Canis lupus familiaris: one gene and its partner. The protein of the gene in region 1 interacts with the protein of each later gene in a biochemical or structural test. Links are inferred from orthologs where the notes say so. Each region holds a gene or a part of one and is shown on either strand. Other genes may lie near its edges. The genes, in order: SEC31A and SEC13.

Region 1 (10,465 bases):
CTTTTTCCACTGCTGTTCACATCATGATTTGTTGTGATTAATGTATGTGGATGAGGACATAATGGAAAAAGAAAATCATAGTGGGAGAAGAAAAGCACAGATGTAGTTTTTGTATGTTGATTTAATAATGTTTTTCCTTTTAGAAATGAAATTGAAGGGCGGTTTTCTTAACATCACGTGTCAGATTTGATAAACAGTGAACATTTTTATAGAAAGGTAAGAGGTTAATTTGATGAACAGAAAATCAGATCTTAGCAAACAGTTGATATTTGAGCATAATGTGAATATCGTACTCAATTTTTTTTTCCTTATGCTTTCAGCTTTCAAAGATGATATAATTTTCTAAATCAATAGATTTGATTCAGGGTAGGCAATTGGTAGCTGGGGTCAGGACTTGTAACCTTGATGGTCATCTTTTCTCAAAAATAATGATGTAATTCAGCCCCTGAAATAGATAGGGGCTATTAGAATATATGAAACTAGATATCATATATTCCAGGGTTTAAGTTTGCTTAACTTTTGGATGTTCTATAAATGACTCTTTAATATGCCAGTGAACATCCATCCTATAACTTAAGCTTTATTCAAGAATAGTAGATACGTACATAGGTAGTCAAAAGCTGGGAATCTCAAATCTAATACCACATTAATCTGTCACTAATTAGGCATGTTGTCTTGGGGTGTTACAAATTTGAGGAATATTAAATAGAAAAATTTTTACAACTACTCAATGTTGATTTAAATTCATTATTTCATAAATTTCTACCAACATAAAATTGATAAAAACTTTTTTTATAGGCCTTAATGAAAATATTTACAAATAAGTGCATTCAAAAACAAAATTAAAAAATTAATGGGATGGATGCTACTGTTACACAGAAGTAAACATAGTGCTGGCTCGTATGGAATAAGTTATATACACATACAGCCTTGTGCCTTGTGAGAATTGTAAAGTTTTATAATCTGGACAATATTAGATTTGTCCAGGACTTTACTCTTTTGCAGAACTCAAGATTATTGAAATGAGGAAAGGGGGCCTAAACTCTGAAAAGGATATCTTTGGACTGTCTGCAAATCCTAATATGAAGAATTTTGTATTACATTGTCTTCAAACATTTTTCCAGCTCCAATGAGTAATTCAGTTTTTGTTTTTTATCTATGGCTAGCTTTGGTTAGTAGTTAGATTGGATTAAAAGTTGGCTGTTCCGTGAACTAATACAAGTTCTTCTTTTTAAATACAGGTAGTCCTTACTTTGCACTGTTTCCAGTTACTTGAAGATCAGTTTTCACAGTTGAGTTAAATAACACCAATCCCTCTACAACATGATTGAAATTTCAGTTACCGCGATAGTAACCAGATTGTTGCATAAGTTTTGCAGATAGCTCTTTATTCCACAAAAGATTATGCATATAAAAGATGGTCAGTAAACACTTATGTCGCTTCTTTCAAAGTCTCTTGGTGGTTGATCACTGAACATCTAATAGTTCACACGCAGAGTAAAGCATGTAGTTATGTTGCCTACTTGTTTCCCAGTGATAAACCCATGTGACAGAATTGGTCAACAAAGATGACTGGGCAGCAAAGAAAAAGTTTTAACACCAGAAATGAAATTGGATGTCATTAGAAGATTTGAAAATGGTGACAGCATAGTGAAGACAAGATAAGACCTGGGCTTACATGAAGCTATAAAATGAACCATCTTTTTAAAGTTCGATGAAGCAAGAACTTTTAGGTAAAATGCTTTAAGATTTTTTAGTTTAAATTATACTAGGAACAGAAAGGCATGTATGGTTGAAATGGAATGTTTACTTCTCCTTTGGATTGAGGACTGTAAAAATAAATCCCAGTCAGTTTGGCTAGTATTCAGGCCAAAGTGTTGAGGTTAGTTGCTGCACTGAAGGAAAATGGTAACTACAAGTAGACTGAAAAAGAACATCTTATTGCCTTCTAATAATAAAGGCTGGTTTCATTGTTTACAAAGTCAGCATGAATTGATTAATGTTCTGCTATCTGGTGAAGCTGCAAGCTCAGAGAAGCATCTGTGAAATTTGCACCCATATTCCAAGAATCACAGGTAGTCTTTGCTTTGCACAGTAGTGCAAGACTACTATGTAAAAACTTCACAAGGTTTGGCTGGAATGCAGTTGGAGTTCTAGAAGATACAGATGACCATGGGAATGTTGACACTGCTGCCAATCAAGAAGTAGTTCTACATATACAGCCAGAAGAATTTAGTGAAGGCGAACATTGTTATAAATGACGAAAGCAGTTGTGTGTTGTAAAGGATCAATATGTTTCAGAGGAAGTGATGGCAGGTGAAAAACCACATTAAAGGAACACTCCTATTTGATGACATTGAATGCATAAATTTTAGAGGCAAATCCAAACTCAGTTGAAAGGAGTATGACAATTTGCCAAGGTGTAGAAAAGATGCTTGCTCCATATTGTAAGTTATATGAGAAGGCAAGCAATATTAAAACTATTCTTGAGACTTTAATAAATAAAATGCTATAATTTTCAATGTTTGTTTTAAATGTTTTAATTTTTATTTTTTAAAGATTTTATTTATTTATTCATGAGAGAGAGACATAGGGAGAGGGAAAAGCAGGCTCCCTGCAGGGAGCCCCATGTGGAACTGGATCTCTGGACCCCAGGATCATGCCCTGAGCCAAAGGCAGACACTCAACCACTGAGCCACTCCAGGTGTCCCTGTTTTAAATATTTTTAATGTGTATAACTAACATCAAGAGAGTTTTTAATGTTTTAATAACTTTCAGGTTTACAGAACAATCATTGTTAATCCCATTAACATTGCTTTTAAGTGTCAGTTTGCATAGTCCAAGTAAGAGCTCCCTGCATTTACACCAAGCTAGGAACTCTAACCAGTTATGAACAGATTAAGTCTAGACACAAATACACTTTACCTTTATGATCACCAGTTACAATGGACATTTTTCACAATGCCTTTGTATGCTACTATGTCAAGGCTTTGAAATTTATAGTACGGTCTCATTTGATTTTGAGTATTAAAGGATTGTAAGTAAAATCCTAATAGGAGTTGGCAAACTTAAAAGGCCATACAGGAAATACTTTAGGCTTTGCAGACTATTATAGTCTCTGTAGCAACTAGTCAACTTTGCCCATGTAGCAGGAAAACAGCCATTGACAATACATAAATCACTGAAAGTGGCTGTGTTCCAGTTATGAAACATTTCATGGAATACCATTCTTAACCTCACAGAGCCTACAAATGGGGATGGGGAGCAGGGAGGTTTGTAGTTTGACTTCTCTAATAGCAACATGTACATTAAATGATACCAAAGAATATAACTACTGCTTGAATCATTGCGTTTTGGTGAAGTTTTTCAAATGAAAACTTTCTCCATACCAATGTATGCTTCTGGGTAGTAGGGGGTCTCTGGAGGTTGGGGCAGTAGGGAGTTTAGTATTGACAAATAATGAGACCACTTTTATTTTTTATAAAGACTATTTATTCATAGAGACAGAGAAAGAGAGGCAGGCTCCATGCAGGGAGCCCGACGTGGGACTCGATCCCAAGTCTCCAAGATCAGGCCCTGGGCCAAAGGTGGCGCTAAAACCACTGCGCCACTGGGGCTGCCCATGAGCCCACTTTTAAGACTTTTTTATTGGTATCTCTAGGCAAACTTGCAGTTAAATAAAAATGGCTTTGTAGAACAGGAGAAATTAGCTACTGTAGCCTAAGTGATGTTTAGTCTATTAATTGTCCTAGAGAAATAAACTTGGCTTTTCAAATTGAACAAGTATAAGACATTAAAAGGTGTTCAAAAAAATGTAGTGGGAGTGCAAACATTCTAATAGTTAGAAGTGAAGGCGCTTTAGAGAAAGCTTGAGGAAAGAGACCTTGATGGGCGTAATAATGGGAAGAGAATTGCTCTAGCAGGAAGACCCGGGTTCAATCCAAGTTCTGATCGTTTACCAAGTGTTTTTCCTCTGGTTTTCCCTTCTTTGCTGCAAAACAATTCCTAAACCAAGAACAACATCCAAGCAATAGATTAATTAGATGCCAGGGTCTGGCAGAGCTAGTGGAGTGCCAGTGACGTACGGGCAAACCTTCGTAGATCTCAAACCGTGCCACACGATGCTAAACTAACCGGGCCACGCCTCTGGAGGAACAAATACGTCCACAACAGACTGACGAGCCCATTTGGCTTTAAAGAAGTTCTCAAAAAAAAAGCAATAATACTGTAGAACCAACTATGCAATTTTAAAAAGCGAATCGCAAATTAGTTACTGCAATTAGGGCCCCGCAGCCCGATTTTCACGCGATTTGTCCGGTGCTGGCAGGGTCGCCGGGTCGCCGGCCGCCGCCGTCTCACAGGACTAGCGCTACGTGGCGTTCTGCGGGCCCGGGCCGTTCTTCAGCCGACCGCTACACCCGGCCAGACTTTTGTTTCTCGCCTACCCCGGTCACCGCACCCTGGCCGTGCACGCCGTCCCTCAGAGCAGGTCTCCAGGCCCCGCCGCGAGCCGGCCCGCCGCCGGCCTTCAGCGCGCACCCAGGCCCGGGACGCCGCCTGCGCCGCTCCCGGAAGTGCCGTGGCAGGCGGCGCGCCTCAGTGGGCCGGGCGAGGCGTCGCTCCCGGAAGCGGCCGGCCGGCTGGGAGGGGCTGCGGCTGCCACGTTGAAGCGGAACGTGGAGGTGGCCCTGGGGCGGGAGGAGGGGCGGCGGCGAATGCTGGGAGAGTCCGACGGACGTCGCGCTAACACAGGAACCGGTCGCCGAGGGTCCCCGCCAGGTGTGTCCGCCTCCCCCCCCCCCCCCCCGTCTTCTTCGCCGGCCCTCGGGCCGTGAGGTAGAGCACCGGCGAAAGCTGGGTGCGCGGCATCGGCCGCCGCGGGTCCCCGCCAGCCTGAGGCCCGGTCTGCGGTGGCGGCGCGCCCCTGGTCTTGGTTTCGGGCCCGTCGGGACAAGCCTGGCGTCACGGCTGCTGCGGGGATCGCGCCGATCCACGTCCGCCAACGTTTCCCCTGCTGAGCAGGAGCTCCCCTGAGGCTTGCGACGGGGGGTCGTGCCGGGCGGGTAACTGGGGTCCGAGGTTAGAAGCCCCTCGCACTCACACCCTTGTGCACAAAGAGGTGCGGGCCCCGAGGCGGAGGGAAGGACGCGAGCCTCGGGATCACTTTGGTTGACTTTATTTAGTTTATGATTTTTTGTTTGTATTTGAACTGTTGCCAGATAAAAGGGTTCATAGGTTTTCAACGGAAGGCTACTGGCATTGAACCGGGATTGGATTATTTTAAGGATAGTCGCCAACCTAAGCCTATATACACCTCGAAGGAAATCTCATTAAGTGTTGTATGTTTTTGCTAATAAGTTATTGTAATGAGAGATTAAATTACAGGGCAGGTGGAAAACGAATAAAAATATGGCATGGGCTTGTGGGCATTATGAACTTTACCAAGCAACTAATTTTATGTAGGTCTTTGTGAAACTGCAGTGATGATCTGTGCTAAATCCTCTCCCCAAAACTGCCTTTTCTAACTACAGAATGCTGAAATTTGACTGTCGCCACTTGTAGCTGTTCAGTAGATAATTAGAGCCTCGCTCTTCTCATACCGACCCTTGTTTTCTGTACATACTGATTGTTCTGGGATTGGCTAAAGTTTACTCACAGGTTTCTAGTGGTTCCTCTGTGCTCTTTGTTTCTTACTGTTTCTTAAACAGCTCTGGGAAAGGTTTGTAGACTAAGAATTTTTGGGTAACTTGAAGTGTTTTTGTAGTTGTGAATTTATGTTATACATGTCCAAAGTTATTTGGGGAATGTGAGATTGGAATGAATTTAGAATTAGACTGCTTAATTTTATATAAGCAGGTTCTTTTTGAAACAATAATATATAATTTATAATAATAACATAAAAGTAGAAAGAAATTAGAAAGAGCAGTGATTCTTGACTTTTTGGAATTCCACTCCCTTTTTAGGATCTGATGAAAGCATTGGATCACCTTCCTAGAAAAATGCACACACACACAGAATTCTCTATATAATTTCATGAGGTTTACAGATCCCAAATTAATTCTTGTCAGGTGATATTATTAAAATTGATTTTTACAGTGTTTTCAGAAATGTTGTCATTCTTAGGTTAATTTCAGGTCAAAAAGTTTTACTTCTTAGATTCTAGATAAATACACCAGCATTTAGTTCAACGCAGTTAGTTCTTTGATTTGATTTTGGTTGAGTGAGATGAGTCTAGAACATCAGTAACAGTAAATAAATACTCTAGAACAAATGTGCCCATCCATGATAAGATACTTGCCCACACAAGATGGATTTTTACCAAATGCAGTGCCAACTAGGGATTTTTTGAGAGTCAGAGTTTGCAATTCTATTAACTCTTCCACTTTTTACTTTCTGAGTTATGAGTCATCTCTATATGTAGCAGTGTAAGTTTGGTATTTTTCAGACAATAGAACTGTTAGGTTTTAGTACTGCTTTACAGAATTAGCAGTTAAAAAACGAGCAAAAAGGAAAAAGCTTCCACTTAATAGCATGCATTTAACTACATGCATGTTGTGGGGAGAAACTTGGGTGAAAAAATAAGTTCTAGACTGGCAAATAAGTTTTCTTCAATAGATGTATTTTTTTTTTAAAAAAAGATTTATTTATTTATTTGAGAGAGAAAGAACACAGAGCAAGCAGTGGAGGAGGAGCAGAGGGAGAGAGAGAATCCCAAGCCACCTCCCCACTCAGCATTGAGCCCTATGTGGGGCTTGATCTCAAGAGATCAAGACCTGAACCAAAACCAAGAGTTGGACACTAACCGACTGAGCCACCCAGGTGCCCCTTCAGTAGAGGTATTCTTGGAGATTCATTGTGATAAACTAAAATTTTAAATTGTGACTTTTGCCATAGCTGATATTTACAAGCATGTATTTACTATGTGCCAGCTACTGTTCTAAGCCCTCTGCGTAATGCCTCATTTAATTCTCACAACTCTTTTTTTTTTTTTTTAAGATTTTATTTATTTATTCATGTCAGAGAGAGGCAGAGACACAGGCAGAGGGAGAAGCAGGCTCCCAGCAAGGAGCCCTATGTGGGACTTGATCCCATGACTCTGGGATCATGCCCTGAGTGGAAGGCAGACACTCAGCCACTGAGCCACCCAGGCGTCCCACAGCAACTCTTCTTATGCAGACTTTTGTTATACTTATTTTACCAAGTGGGTAGCCAAGACACACATAGGTAAAGATACATGCCTTTTAGAGCATATCAGAGCTAGGACAAGGTGGAGCTGGGATTTAAACTGAGGGTATGGCTCCAGACTCCATATCCTAGATTGCTGTGCTATAAATATTGTCTTGTAGATGACATGTGAACAAGCCACTGTCCTAGCAGTTTTATTTTTGTGTTATCATAATGATTTTGTTCTGTGTAAAATAGTCTTAAATAAGTCTGCATAGTGTAAATTCTAATCATATATGATATTGAAAAAAATTGCACAAGGCTTTTGAAGCATGTCATACTTGGGAAGTACACATGGTTTAATCTAAACCTTCAGATTTTCAAGAAAATTAGTTACAACTAAATGATCATTTCTAAGAGAATACACAGGCGGTATTTCCATAGTATTCTTAGTGTTTTGAGAATGATTGCAATGGACAAAATTACTACTCTTTAATTAAATTCAGACCACTTAACATAGCTCCAGGCCATTATTGTAGTGATTTTAAACAACAACAACAACAACAGTTGGTATTGAAGTCTTATGTTCAGTACAACTTAATAAGTGCAACTGCATTTAGTGGAACATTGAGTGCTAAGGACAAGAAATAAGACTTTTATAAATGTTTTGTATTCCCACTTAACCATTTTATGTACTTGTGAATTTGTCTCTCTCTCTTTCAGTAAATGTTACACATTAACTAAGTGTTCATGAATTAGGTAACCTTTAATGTACCTTTGCTCTTAGATATAGTATAGTTCTGTTCAGTTGGGTTTTTTAAAAATATATATAGATATTTTGTTTTCACTTTTAGAAATTATTCTAAAGCATTTTTTTCTAAAGCATTTTTTTAAAACCTCTTTTTCCTTTAATGATACTTTCCCCTATTTTTTAAATAAGAAAACTTAAAGTGATTAAAATTATTTTTCCTTTAAACACTTAAGAATTAAAAAATTAAATGTTTTACCTGAAAGTGATCTTTCCAGCTCATCAGTCTTTTTATATTTCCCTAAATATAAACATTCAAAATAAAACAAGCAAAACTTTTTCTATACCTTACTGTGAGCTAAGCAATTTTGATTCCACAAAGGGTAAAAGTTGTAATATTTAATTGAAAAAAAGACATTAGGGACGCCTGGGTGGCTCAGTGGTTGAGCGTCTGCCTTTGGCTCAGGGCGTGATCCTCAGTCCGAGGTTGGAGTCCCCCATCAGGCTCTCTGCGAGGAGTCTGCTTCTCTCACTGCTTGTGTTTCTGCCTCTCTCTCTCTCTCTCTCTCTCTCTCTCTCATGAATAAATAAATAATCCTTAAAATAAAAAAAGGACATTATTTGTCAAGTTAATGAGACGATGACATAAAACAGGTGGTTATAAAAAGGCAATGGAAAAATATGTAACAGTGTGTACTAATAGAATGTTATAAAGTTTTGTTAAATTAGAATAAGACACTTTATTATAAAATATTTAAAGTGGTCCAAACAGTTAAGAGATAATTTAGATCATTGTGGATTGGATCATTAGGGTACTTCTCTGAAAGTAGCTGGAATTTGAACTTCTTAATAAAAATAGTTGGCTGAGAAAAGAGAGCATTTCATTTAAAGGCTTTTTCGCTTCTTAGAAAATTGAGATTTTCCCTCTTTTTTCAGAACAGCCTTAGGAAACTAGATGTGTAGTTTTCTTGATTAATCTCATGCTTGTAATAATTTTAAAAAATAGCATATTAAAGCCCATGTTAACCTATGTGCTGGACACTGAGTTTGGCCCTATATAAAATACATTATCTCATTTAAACTTCAGAACATCCCATGAGGTAGTGACTCTTATCTTCATTTTACAAATGGGACTTAGGGAGGTTAAACAATGTGTCTAGTGTATCATAATAAGTAGCAGAGCCAATATTCAGATCCAGCATTGACTCCAGAGGCCTATTACTTTTAACCACATGATCGAACCTCCTTAATCCACTTTTGCCTAACCTAGCACAGTTTCTAAAATACATTTCTTCTTTTTAAAGATTTCATTTATTTATTTGAGAGAGAGAGAGAGAGAGCGCATGAGCAGAGGGAGAGGGAGAAGCAGACTCCTGGCTGAATGGGAGCCAAACAGATGTGGGGTGGGGCTCCATCCCAATCATGACCTGAGCCCAAGGCAGATGCATAACTGAAAGAACCACCCAGGTGCCCCCATTTCTTCTTCTCTTAGTGTCCCCATGAATCCTAGTTGCTTTGTTATTATTTCTTCTAAATGTTAGGATGTGTTCTATGATTAAAATACCTGAATTTGTTGGGGTAACAAGAGATTAGACTCTGAAAGTAAACTTCTGAGTTCAAATCTTGGCTCTGGGGGCAGCCCAGGTGGCTCAGTGGTTTAGCGCCTGCCTTCAGCCCAGAGCGTGATCCTGGAGTCCCGGAATCGAGTCCCATGTCAGGTTCCCTGCATGGAGCCTGCTCCTCTGCCTGTGTCTCTGCCTCTCTCCCTCTCTCTCTCTCCCTCTCTCTCTCTCTCTTTCTCTCTCTCTGTCTCTCATGAATAAATAAATAAAATCTTTAAAAACAAAACAGGGGCAGCCCTGGTGGCTCAGCGGTTTGGTGCCACCTTCTGCCCAGGGTATGATCCTGGAGTCCCGGAATCGAGTCCCATGTCAGGTTCCCTGCATGGAGCCTGCTCCTCTGCCTGTGTCTCTGCCTCTCTCCCTCTCTCTCTCTCCCTCTCTCTCTCTCTCTCTCTTTCTCTCTCTCTGTCTCTCATGAATAAATAAATAAAATCTTTAAAAACAAAACAGGGGCAGCCCTGGTGGCTCAGCGGTTTGGTGCCGCCTTCTGCCCAGGGTATGATCCTGGAGACCTGGAATCGAGTCCCATGTCGAGCACCCTGCATGTAACCTGCTTCTCCCTCTGCCTGTGTCTCTGCCTTTCTCTCTCTCTGTATCTCTTATGAATAAATAAATAAGATATTTAAAAAAAATAAAAATAAAAACAAAACAAATCTTGGCTCTGCCCCTCGCTAGCATGTACAAATTATTAATCTTTCTGTGCCTTCATTTTTATTATCTCAAGTATAAACAATTGGAACATGTAAAGCATAGGGCATATTAGACTTAAATAAACTTACATTAGATATACATAGACTTAAGGCTTTCTTAAGGAAGCTATTGGAACATGACCTTCATCCTCTAGAGATGAGTAAGAAAGCTGGCAAAAGAAATGTTGGAGGGCTTTAAATATATTTAACTACAGACCTGAAACTAAAACAAAAGTAGGAAT
Region 2 (9,732 bases), on another chromosome or scaffold:
CTTATTAATTGTTCTCTGTTTTATAGTTTCTTTGTTTCTTCCTTTAAAAAAAAAAAAGATTTTATTTATTTATTGATGAGAGACACAGGCAGAAGGAGAAGCAGGCTCCACGCGGGAAGCCTGATGTGGGACTCAATCCTGGGACCCTGGGATCATGCCCTGAGCCGAAGGCAGGCATACAACTGCTGAGCCACCCAGGTGCCCCCGTTTATGTTCCTTTCTTGGTCTGCTTAGATTCCTTTCTCATCTTTTGTGTATCTACTGTAGGCATTTGCTTTATGGTTACCATGAGGCTGATATTTATTTATAATATATAACAGTCTATTTGAAGTTGGCAAGAACTTATGCATGAATGCATTTTTACTCTCCACCCATATTTTATGTTTCTGAGGTCAAATTTTGCATCTTTTTATCTTGCATATCCCTTAACTAATTATTATAGTCGTAGTTATTTTTACTACTTTTGTCTTTTAATCTTCATATTAGCTTTATTTGTGATTAGGCCAGTACTTTTACTACATATTTACCTTAACTGGTGAGTTTTCTACTTTCATATGTTTTCCTGTTATTAATAAGCACCTTTTCTTTTCAACTTAAAGAATACCCTTTATCATTTCCCTTTTTTTCCCCAAAGATTATTTGAAAAAGAGAGAACAGAGATAAAGCACAGATTGGGGGGGAAGGGCAGAGGGAGAGGGAGAAGCAGACTCTCCACTGAGCAGAGAGCCCAACGTAGGGCTTGATCCCAGGACCCTGAGATCATGACCTGAGCTAAAGGCAAATGCTTAACCAACTGAATGCCATCCAGACACCACCTGCTTTCACATTTCTTGTAAAGCAAGCTTAGTGGTCATGAGTTCCATTCATTATTTGCTTGTTTGGAAAGCTCTCCTTCAATTCTGAATAACTTCCGTGGGTAGAGTACTCTTGGTTGGAAGTTTTTTTCTTTCATCACTTTGAGACATGTTTTTTATCTTGATTATAGTGGTAATTTTACAGGGTATACCAATGCCAGAGCTCATTAGATTGTGCGGTTTATGAGCAATGAATGTCAATAATACCTCAAAGCTGTTCTTAAAATTTTATTTTGGAGTAGAAAGAAACAGACTGTTACTGCTATGCAAGAACTCAAAAACTATTGTTTCCATGAGCACTTTCTGAGGTATCTACTAGAGAATAAGCTTCAGACAACAAAAATGACTAGAAAGACATCAAATATAGTTAACTGTAGAGAACTAAGACTAAATGAGGGTTATAAGGCAGAGTATAGCTATATGCTCTGTTAAGGTATCAGGCAGCTGTTTAAAAAGTGGGCATGGGGCTTTGGGTGGTTCACTTGGTTAAGGGTTAGACTCTTGATTTCAGCTTTTTTAGGTCATGATCTCAGGGTGGTAAGATCAAGCCCTGCATCAGGCTCTGTGCTCAGCAGAGTATGTTTGAAGTTCTCTCTCTCCCTCTCCCCCTCGCCCCACTTGCATGCTCTCTCTCAATAAATAAATCTTTTTTTTTTTTTTTTTTCTTTAAAGTGGGCACATGCAGAGCTGGAGATCTAGGATCTTTTAATGTTGGTAACCATACACTAAACACCCTGCTCCTTCCCAAAAAAAAAAAAAAAAAAAAAAAACCTATGGCAGAGAATGGGGAGAACACTGCAAACATTTTTTTAAATGTTTAGACTTATTGTATTGGCAGTAACTGAGACTGTTGAATATGAAATGAGATAAAATAATTATGTGGCAGTGAGCATCCCTAGCACCAGATTATAGTCTTGAAATATAGTTCCTCACTAAAAGAAACCCTAATTCTTGAGGAACTGGCTGATCTTAGGTCTGAGGCAGGAAATGTATGAAATAAGCCTGGGACATTTTGTGATACCTCTAACAGAAATGATCAAAGACATATTTTGATATAGTTAAGTCAGAGGAGCCAATTTGAACACGTACTACAGTTAGGTGTCAAAAATAAGAATAATTGCAGTGAACTGAAACCCATCAAATATGCTTAAAACCATGAGTTTATAAAGAGAATCAGGGTGGCTCAGTCATCTGCCTCCATCTCAGGTCATGATCCCAGGGTCTTGGGATCCCAGAGCAGCAGGTCTCACATCAGGCTTCCTGCTTCCTGCCTACCACACTTCCTGCTTGTTCTCTTGTTCATTTTCTCAAACAAAATATTTTTAAAAATAAAAAATAATAGAATCATTCATCCTTGAAGAATGTGTCAAACATTTATCCTACATTTCCAATCTGATCTGTACCCATGGGGAGCCAAATATGAATGAGGGAGATCTCCCCTGTCTAGATTATTCTATATAATAAATAACAAAGAAATGAATATAATATCACCATTTTGTAATGTCCAATGAATTAAAAGAGGCATAAATTGTTCATAGGTACTAATACCATAAAAAGACAACCTGATGTCATTTGTCTCCCAATGTAAGAATAATTTACTGCCTGTAGTGTTTTTTTAATATTTTTAGAAGATTTTATGTATTTATTCATGAGAGAGGCAGAGACACCGGCAGAGGGGAGAAGCAGGCCCCGCACAGGGAGCCTTATACGATCGATCGATCAATCGAGGAACTCTGGGATCACACCCTGAGCCAAAGGCTGAGGCTCAGCCACTGAGCCACCCAGGCATCCTACTGCCTGCAGTCTTAACAAAGGAGTCAAACTTGACTCTGACCCAGTCTGCGATCCAGCTGACAATTTTTAGGAATTCAGAGGTCTGAGTGTGAAATAGCAAATCAGCCTGAGAGTCTATAAGTCAGATGACTGGTCTTTCTTCAACAAAAAAATGGTAAGGAAAAAAAAAGATTAGGGGGAATCTATAAATAAGGAGATGTAAAAAAAATTTTTCAATAAAAAATTGGGGATCCCTGGGTGGCTCAGCGGTTTGGCGCCTGCCTTCAGCCCAGGTCGTGATCCTGGAGACCTGGGATCGAGTCCCGCGTAGGCCTCCCTGCATGGAGCCTGCCTCTCCCTCTGCCTGTGTCTCTGCCTCTTTGTCTCTCTGTGTCTCTCATTAATAAATAAATAAATAAAATCTTTAAAATAAAATTAAATTAAAAAATTTAAATGGTGAGACAGTATAGTATCTAGGGATGCATATTTGGGTGACAAAACTGAAGGGGAAAAAAAAGGAAGAAATCAGAAGTCAGGAAAATGTTGCCAAGGAAGAATGGCTATGACTCAGGTGGGACATAATGACAGGGCTTCCAGGGTAAATGGCAATTTGATATCTTGAACTGGTAGTGGTTACAAGAGTGCTTTAGAGTAGTACTTCATTAAACTTTGCATGTTTTTCTGAACCTGTGCTTTCTGTTCCTATATTTTTTTAATGTTCTGTTTCTTTAAAAATTCCTGGGGAGTCCCTAACTCCTACTTTAAATGTATATTGCTGAAAAATACATGTACTGGGATCCCTGGGTGGCGCAGCGGTTTGGCGCCTGTCTTTGGCCCAGGGCGCGATCCTGGAGATCCGGGATCGAATCCCACCTCGGGCTCCCGGTGCATGGAGCCTGCTTCTCCCTCTGCCTGTGTCTCTGCCTCCCTCTCTCTCTCTCTGTGACTATCATAAATAAATAAAAATTAAAAAAAAAATACATGTACTGTTAGGACTCCTTGAAGGAGCATTATGGGGGCTAATCCTTAACAAAACAAAACAGTGGTCCTGCATAATCCTGTCCTGAGAATTGGAGGGGGATACACTGCAGCTTTGAGTCTGCAGAAGCAGGGCTTTGCTGCAGGGCTAAAGGGCAGTCACCCCAACCCTTTCCTCACAGATTGGCTGCAACGCCGTCAGTTGGGCCCCTGCTGTTGTACCTGGAAGCCTTATAGACCAGCCATCGGGACAGAAGCCCAACTACATCAAGAAGTTTGCTTCGGGTGGCTGTGACAACCTCATCAAACTGTGGAAGTAAGTGGGTGTGGTGGACTTCCCTCAAGGGGACACTTCTTACCTTCTACCCTGCTATCTACTGTGACTCAGCCACAGTTCTGAAGAAATGGGATCCCCTTCTTTTCCCCTCCTGCCTACAGAATACGGTTTTCAGTCTGTCAGAGGACATCCTTTAAAAACAACTTGGCCTTGCTCAAGTACTTTAATTCTTTACCTGATTCCCAATTCTTGGAGCCATTGGCTGTGGACAAACAGCATTTCGTGGAATATTCTTCTATAGCTGATGAACTGAGTAAAAATCTACAAGGTCAAGGAATGAAATCAAAAAGATGGAATAGCTTCTTGGCCCCTGCAGAGCCTACAGGGTGGGGGTACAATGGAGGTGTGGGAAACACACCTGGGCTGCTACCTGCTGCTGCATTTTCCCTTTCTGTCTCCTCTGTTAGGGAGGAGGAGGATGGCCAGTGGAAGGAGGAACAGAAACTAGAAGCGCACAGTGACTGGGTTCGAGATGTGGCCTGGGCCCCCTCCATTGGCTTGCCTACCAGCACCATCGCCAGTTGCTCCCAGGTCAGCTCAGATCCATGAGAGCTTCCCGTGTTGTTTAATCTCTGAGTAAGTCCCATCGACCATTACAGTCCCCCTAAGGTAAAGTCTAAAAAGGTAAGGGCAAGGCAACAGGCACCTCTGGACTAGTGCAAGTAGGACAGTGCTAGGAGCCAGGTCATCTTGTGGAGAAGGCTTGATCAGAAGGCACAAGTGGCTTACCTCCACTGAGCTATGAGTTGGGCCAACTCCAGACCAGTTTCCCCTCAGCATTATGCAGCTGGTGAAGAGAGCTGCCCAGGTGCATTCTGAGAGTGTTCCCAAGCAGGGACCAGGATAGTTGGAAGTCCTAGGATCTTGGGCTCACCTAGATCAGTCTTCACAGACAGATCACAAAGGAAAAACCAAGGACAAGCCTTAAATTATATGCTAACTCCACCATAGACAAAGGTTAGCCAGGCTTCACTTGAGCCTGTTATGTTTGGTTCTAAATTTGAGGACTTTTTAAACTTGTCCCTTCTCATTCTCTGAGCTTGGTTTATAGACAGCCATACCCCTTGGGTTGAGAAAATTAGAGCCAAAGGCAAAACGAGATGATTTGGCAGACATGAGGAAAACCTAGAGAACATTTTAGAGTTAGCCATATAAAGTTCATACCTGAAACCAGTATGAGCACAAGAACCTGGGAGACACAACCAATGTAAAATATGTTCCTGGGGTAAAGGGATAATGCTGGGCTGGAAATTGGCCATCACATCTGTGCACACCCAGGACGGTCTTGGCTGTGCATTGTGCTAAATCCCACCTCATTCCTGCAAAAGTCCAATATGGCTCTAAATAGAGAGGATATCCCCAGTTCAAGATCCTTGCCTTACCTTCCCTGATTCTAACCTGTCTTTTCCCAGGACGGTCGTGTGTTCATCTGGACTTGTGATGACACCTCAGGCAATACATGGTCACCCAAACTGTTGCACAAGTTCAATGATGTTGTGTGGCATGTGAGCTGGTCTATCACAGCCAACATCCTGGCTGTCTCGGGCGGAGACAATAAGGTACAGTCCATTTCCATGACATGGTGGTCAGGGCTTTGTTTGTCTTCACCCACTAAAAAGTGCAGTTGAATTCTCCATATAAGGTTAGGCTTCGAAGGAGCCTTAATGAAGACTGTTTTGAGCACATCTCTTAAATATATCATTAAATCTTACAATCCCCTGCCCTTCCCCCCTCCACCTACTGTCCCGAGGTGGTTTGTCCCCCCCTTTTGCAAATATGAAAGAAGCTGACAGTGGTAGTTAGACTTGCAGAGGGGCCACAAAGCTATTAGGTGGAAGAGTTTGTAATCAGGCCCAAGTTAAATCCAAACCCACTGCCCTGGTAGTCCATCACTGTCACCATTTTACCACCTTGTCTTCATGATGACATTCAGTTAGCACTGCTCAAAAGTTAATAGATTAAAAAAAAATCTCATAAACAAAAGCATAAAGATTGAAGGTTTTTGTCAGACACCAAAGAGGCATATTTCTAAAAATCTGTGTAATTCATGGGTATTATTATTCACCCACTGTATGTATACCTTTTCTGCACTATGAGCCGTACAAAGGAAGAGAGACATGGAGACAAAGTGGCCACTGGAAAACAGTAAAACAAAAAGTAGCTCAGGAACATTATAGCAACAAAGCAAATGCACTTGAAAAATTCTGACCACTTCATTGAACCCTGCCGTATAAAGTTACAGATCTTCTGCCTAAGAGGAGAGGGGTCAGCTAGAGAGATGGCAGTGACTTGTTACCTCTTCCTTTCTGAAGGCAGCTTTTTTAATCATGACCAAATACGTATAAAGTTTCCCCATCTTAGCCATTTTTAAGTGTATAGTTCAGTAGTTTGGAGAACATTCACATTATTGTGCAGCCATCACCTACCATCCACCTCTAAACTGTTCGTCTTTCCCAGCTGAAACTCTGTCCTCACTGGACACTAACCCCCACCCACCCCTATCCCTGGTAAGCACCATTCCTACTTCATGCCTCTGTTAATTTGCCCTAGGGACCTCCTGTAAGTGGAATCCTATAGTGTTCTCATCTTTGTTGTACCACGTGTCTGTTTCAAGACTGAATCATACTCTGTTCTGCCACATTGTATTTATCCATACATACATAGAGGGACCCTGGGGTGCTTCACCTTTGGCTCTTATCAGTAATGCTGTGCACATGGGTGTACAAGTAACACACCTTTGAGATCCTCTGCAGGCAGTTTTTATCCAGGCTGGGGATACCTTTCATGTGTAGTGATTCCAGAAAGATCTAGCAGGCCCTGTCTTAAAGCCATAGAATTTTAGAGCTAGAGTGACCCTCAAAGAAAACTAGCCCTCTTTTTATTTCTAGTAAGTGCCTGAGCCAGGACTAGACCCCAGATTTGATGGCACCCAGAACAGGCCAACAGACCCTGACTTGACTGAGGAGCAGCCCTACTGTAGTGTTTACAAGGCAGTAGGGAGTGCCTGGTTGTACTTTCCGTGTTTGCAGTCTGCTATCATTATTCTTTTGCACTTCTTGATCTTTATCAGCCTATTTCCTACAAGGAGCTCACCTCTATTGTTTGCATAGTATTTATTCCTTCACTAAAGGACTTGGTAGATTTTCAGTCTAGAGCATTCTGTGCAGTGCATCTGTAGTCAACAATCTGTCTCTAAAGCAGAAATTCTTGGGCAGCCCCGGTTGCTCAGCGGTTTAGTGCCACCTTCAGCCAAGGGCCTGATCCTGGAGACCTGGGATTGAGTCTCATGTCAGGCTCACTGCATGGAGCCTGCTTCTCCCTCTGCCTGTGTCTCTGCCTCTCTCTGTGTGTCTCTCATGAATAAATAAATCTTTTTTAAAATAAATAAATAAAGCAGAAATTCTTAAAATTTTTTTTTAATCAAATACATGTACATAGCTTAAGTAGTTTTTATTAGGTTATGATTTATTAATGTAGTTTCCTAATTTTCATTCTCCAGGAGCAAACCTTTTCGATGCTTAGCATTTCTTCTGCTGCTTATTTCAGTGTAGAAATAACATACTCATCTGTCATCTTCCTCTAGCATACTTCTCAGACTTTAGTATTAAACTTGTTAAAACATAGATTGCCAAGCCCACCCCAGAGCTTCTGAATTTCAGCTGGGTGAGGACCCAAGAATTTGTGGTTTTCACAAGTTCTTGGTCCTGCAGATGTCTTGGTCTAGAGACCACGCTTTGAGAACCATTGTTCTCTTCCCCTGTATCCTCACAGAAGTTACAGCAACTTGGTTAAAACGACATTCCTGTTCACATTATTATTTATTACTACTATTACTGTTACTTTGTGTTACAGAATTATTTCCAACACTGCCCCCTCTCCACTGTTTTTATTTTTTAAAATATTCTTTTTCCAGTTTTATTGAAATATAATAGACTTACATCATAAGTTGAAAGTGTATAGCATAATGGTTTGACCTACATATACTGTGAAATGATCACAGTAAGTTTAGCATCCATCATTTCATATAGGTACAATAAAAGAGAAAGCAAAAAAGTTTTTCCTTGTGATGAGAACTCCTCTCATCTCACAGTATTTAGTCTCTCACAGTTTTCATATAGACCGTATAGTGGTGTGAGCTATTGTCATTACATCCCTAGTACTTCCATGTCTTAGGACTCCAAGTGTGTACCTCTTGACCCTCCACCCCCAGCTCTGCTAACTACAAATCTGAACTCTTCTGTGATTGGTTTTGGATCTTTTATGAGTGTTTTCGGTTTTGTTTTTAGACTCTACATATAAATGAGATATATAGTGTTGATCTTTCTCTTATTTCATTTAGCATAATGCCCTCAAAGTCCACGCATGTGGGCACCCTGGGTGACTCAGTGGTTTAGCGCCACCTTCAGCCCGGGGCGTGATCCTGGAGACCTGGGATCGAGTCCCACGTTGGGCTCCCTGCATGGAGCCTGCTTCTCCCTCTGTTTGTGTCTCTGCCTCTGTGTGTCTCTCATGAATGAATAAATAAAATCTTTAAAAAAAAAAAAAAAAAAGTCCACGCATGTGGTCTCAAATATTTCATTTTTTGTGCCTGAATAATATTCCATTGGATATATGTACCATAACTTCTTTATCCATTTATCTGTCGGTAGACATTTAGGTCATTTCCATGTCTTGGCTATTATAAGTAATGGTACTGTGAAATAGAGGTGCAGATATTTCCAAGGTAGGGTTTTCATTTTCTTCAGATAAATATCTAGAAGTTGAATTGGTGGATCATACAGTAATATTTTTAATTTTTTGAGGATCCTCCATACTGTTTTCCATAGCAGCTGTGCCAGTTTATAGTCCCACCAGCTGTGCACAAGAGTTCCCTTTTCCCCACATCCTTGCCAGTGCTTGTGTTTTTATCTCTTTGATGATGGCCATTCTAACATGTGTGAGGTTGAAATCTTTCTTACTGTGGTTTTGATTTGCATTTCCCCAGTGAGTGATAAGTTATGTTGAGCACCTTTTCGTACCTGTTGGCCTTTATAGATTCTTTTTTGGAGAAATGTTCTATTCAGATCTTTTGCCCATTTTTTAATTTGATTATTTGACTTTCTGATATTGATTTTTAGGAGTTCTTTGGACATTTTGGATATGAGCTCTTTATCTGATGTATTATTTGCAAACATTTTTTCACAACTGTTGACTGTTTTCCTGTGCAGAAGCTTTTTAGTTTAATGCTCTTTGCGTTAAACTTTATATTTTGTTGCTTGTGTTTTAGGTGTCCCATCCAAAAAATCATTGCCAAGATCCATACCAAAGAGCTTGTTTCTTGTATTTTCCTCTAGGACTTTCATGGTTTCAGGTCTTATAGTTTTTGTGAGAAGTGTAAGATAAGGATCTGGTTTTATTCTTTTACATGAGAGTATCCAGTTTTATCCACCGCCATTTATTAAAGAGACTGTCCTTTCTCCATTGAGTATTCTTGGCTCCCTTGCCAAGTATTAGTTAACCATTTATGTTTGGGTTTATTTCTGAGCTTTCTGTTTATTTCTGATTCTGTTCCATTGATCTGTTTGTCTGTTTTTATGCCAGTACCATACCGTTTTAATTACTGTAGCTTTGTAGCTTAAAATCAAAAAGTATGATGCTTCTCACTTTGTTTTTTCTCAGGATTGCTTTGGATATTTGGGGTCTTTTGGGGTTCCATATAAATTTTAGGACTCTACTTTTGTAAAAAAAAAAAAAAAAAGGCCTTTTGAATTTTTGAATCTTGATAGGAATTGCATTGAATCTATAGATGGC

Evidence for each region.
Region 2: the proteins of SEC31A (region 1) and SEC13 form a complex in vitro, tested with the Homo sapiens proteins (2 studies listed by BioGRID and IntAct, with this or other methods). The link is inferred for Canis lupus familiaris from reciprocal best matches to the Homo sapiens genes SEC31A and SEC13.

What each region holds. Positions count from the first base shown.
Region 1 is NC_049253.1:33,159,766-33,170,230, forward strand, and holds the start of SEC31A (protein transport protein Sec31A), read left to right. Parts: upstream 1-4,634; 5' UTR 4,635-4,779; intron 4,780-10,465. UniProt on the Homo sapiens protein: Component of the coat protein complex II (COPII) which promotes the formation of transport vesicles from the endoplasmic reticulum (ER).
Region 2 is NC_049241.1:8,130,664-8,140,395, forward strand, and holds part of SEC13 (protein SEC13 homolog), read left to right. Parts: intron 1-3,787; coding exon 3,788-3,921; intron 3,922-4,349; coding exon 4,350-4,473; intron 4,474-5,354; coding exon 5,355-5,501; intron 5,502-9,732. UniProt on the Homo sapiens protein: Functions as a component of the nuclear pore complex (NPC) and the COPII coat. At the endoplasmic reticulum, SEC13 is involved in the biogenesis of COPII-coated vesicles.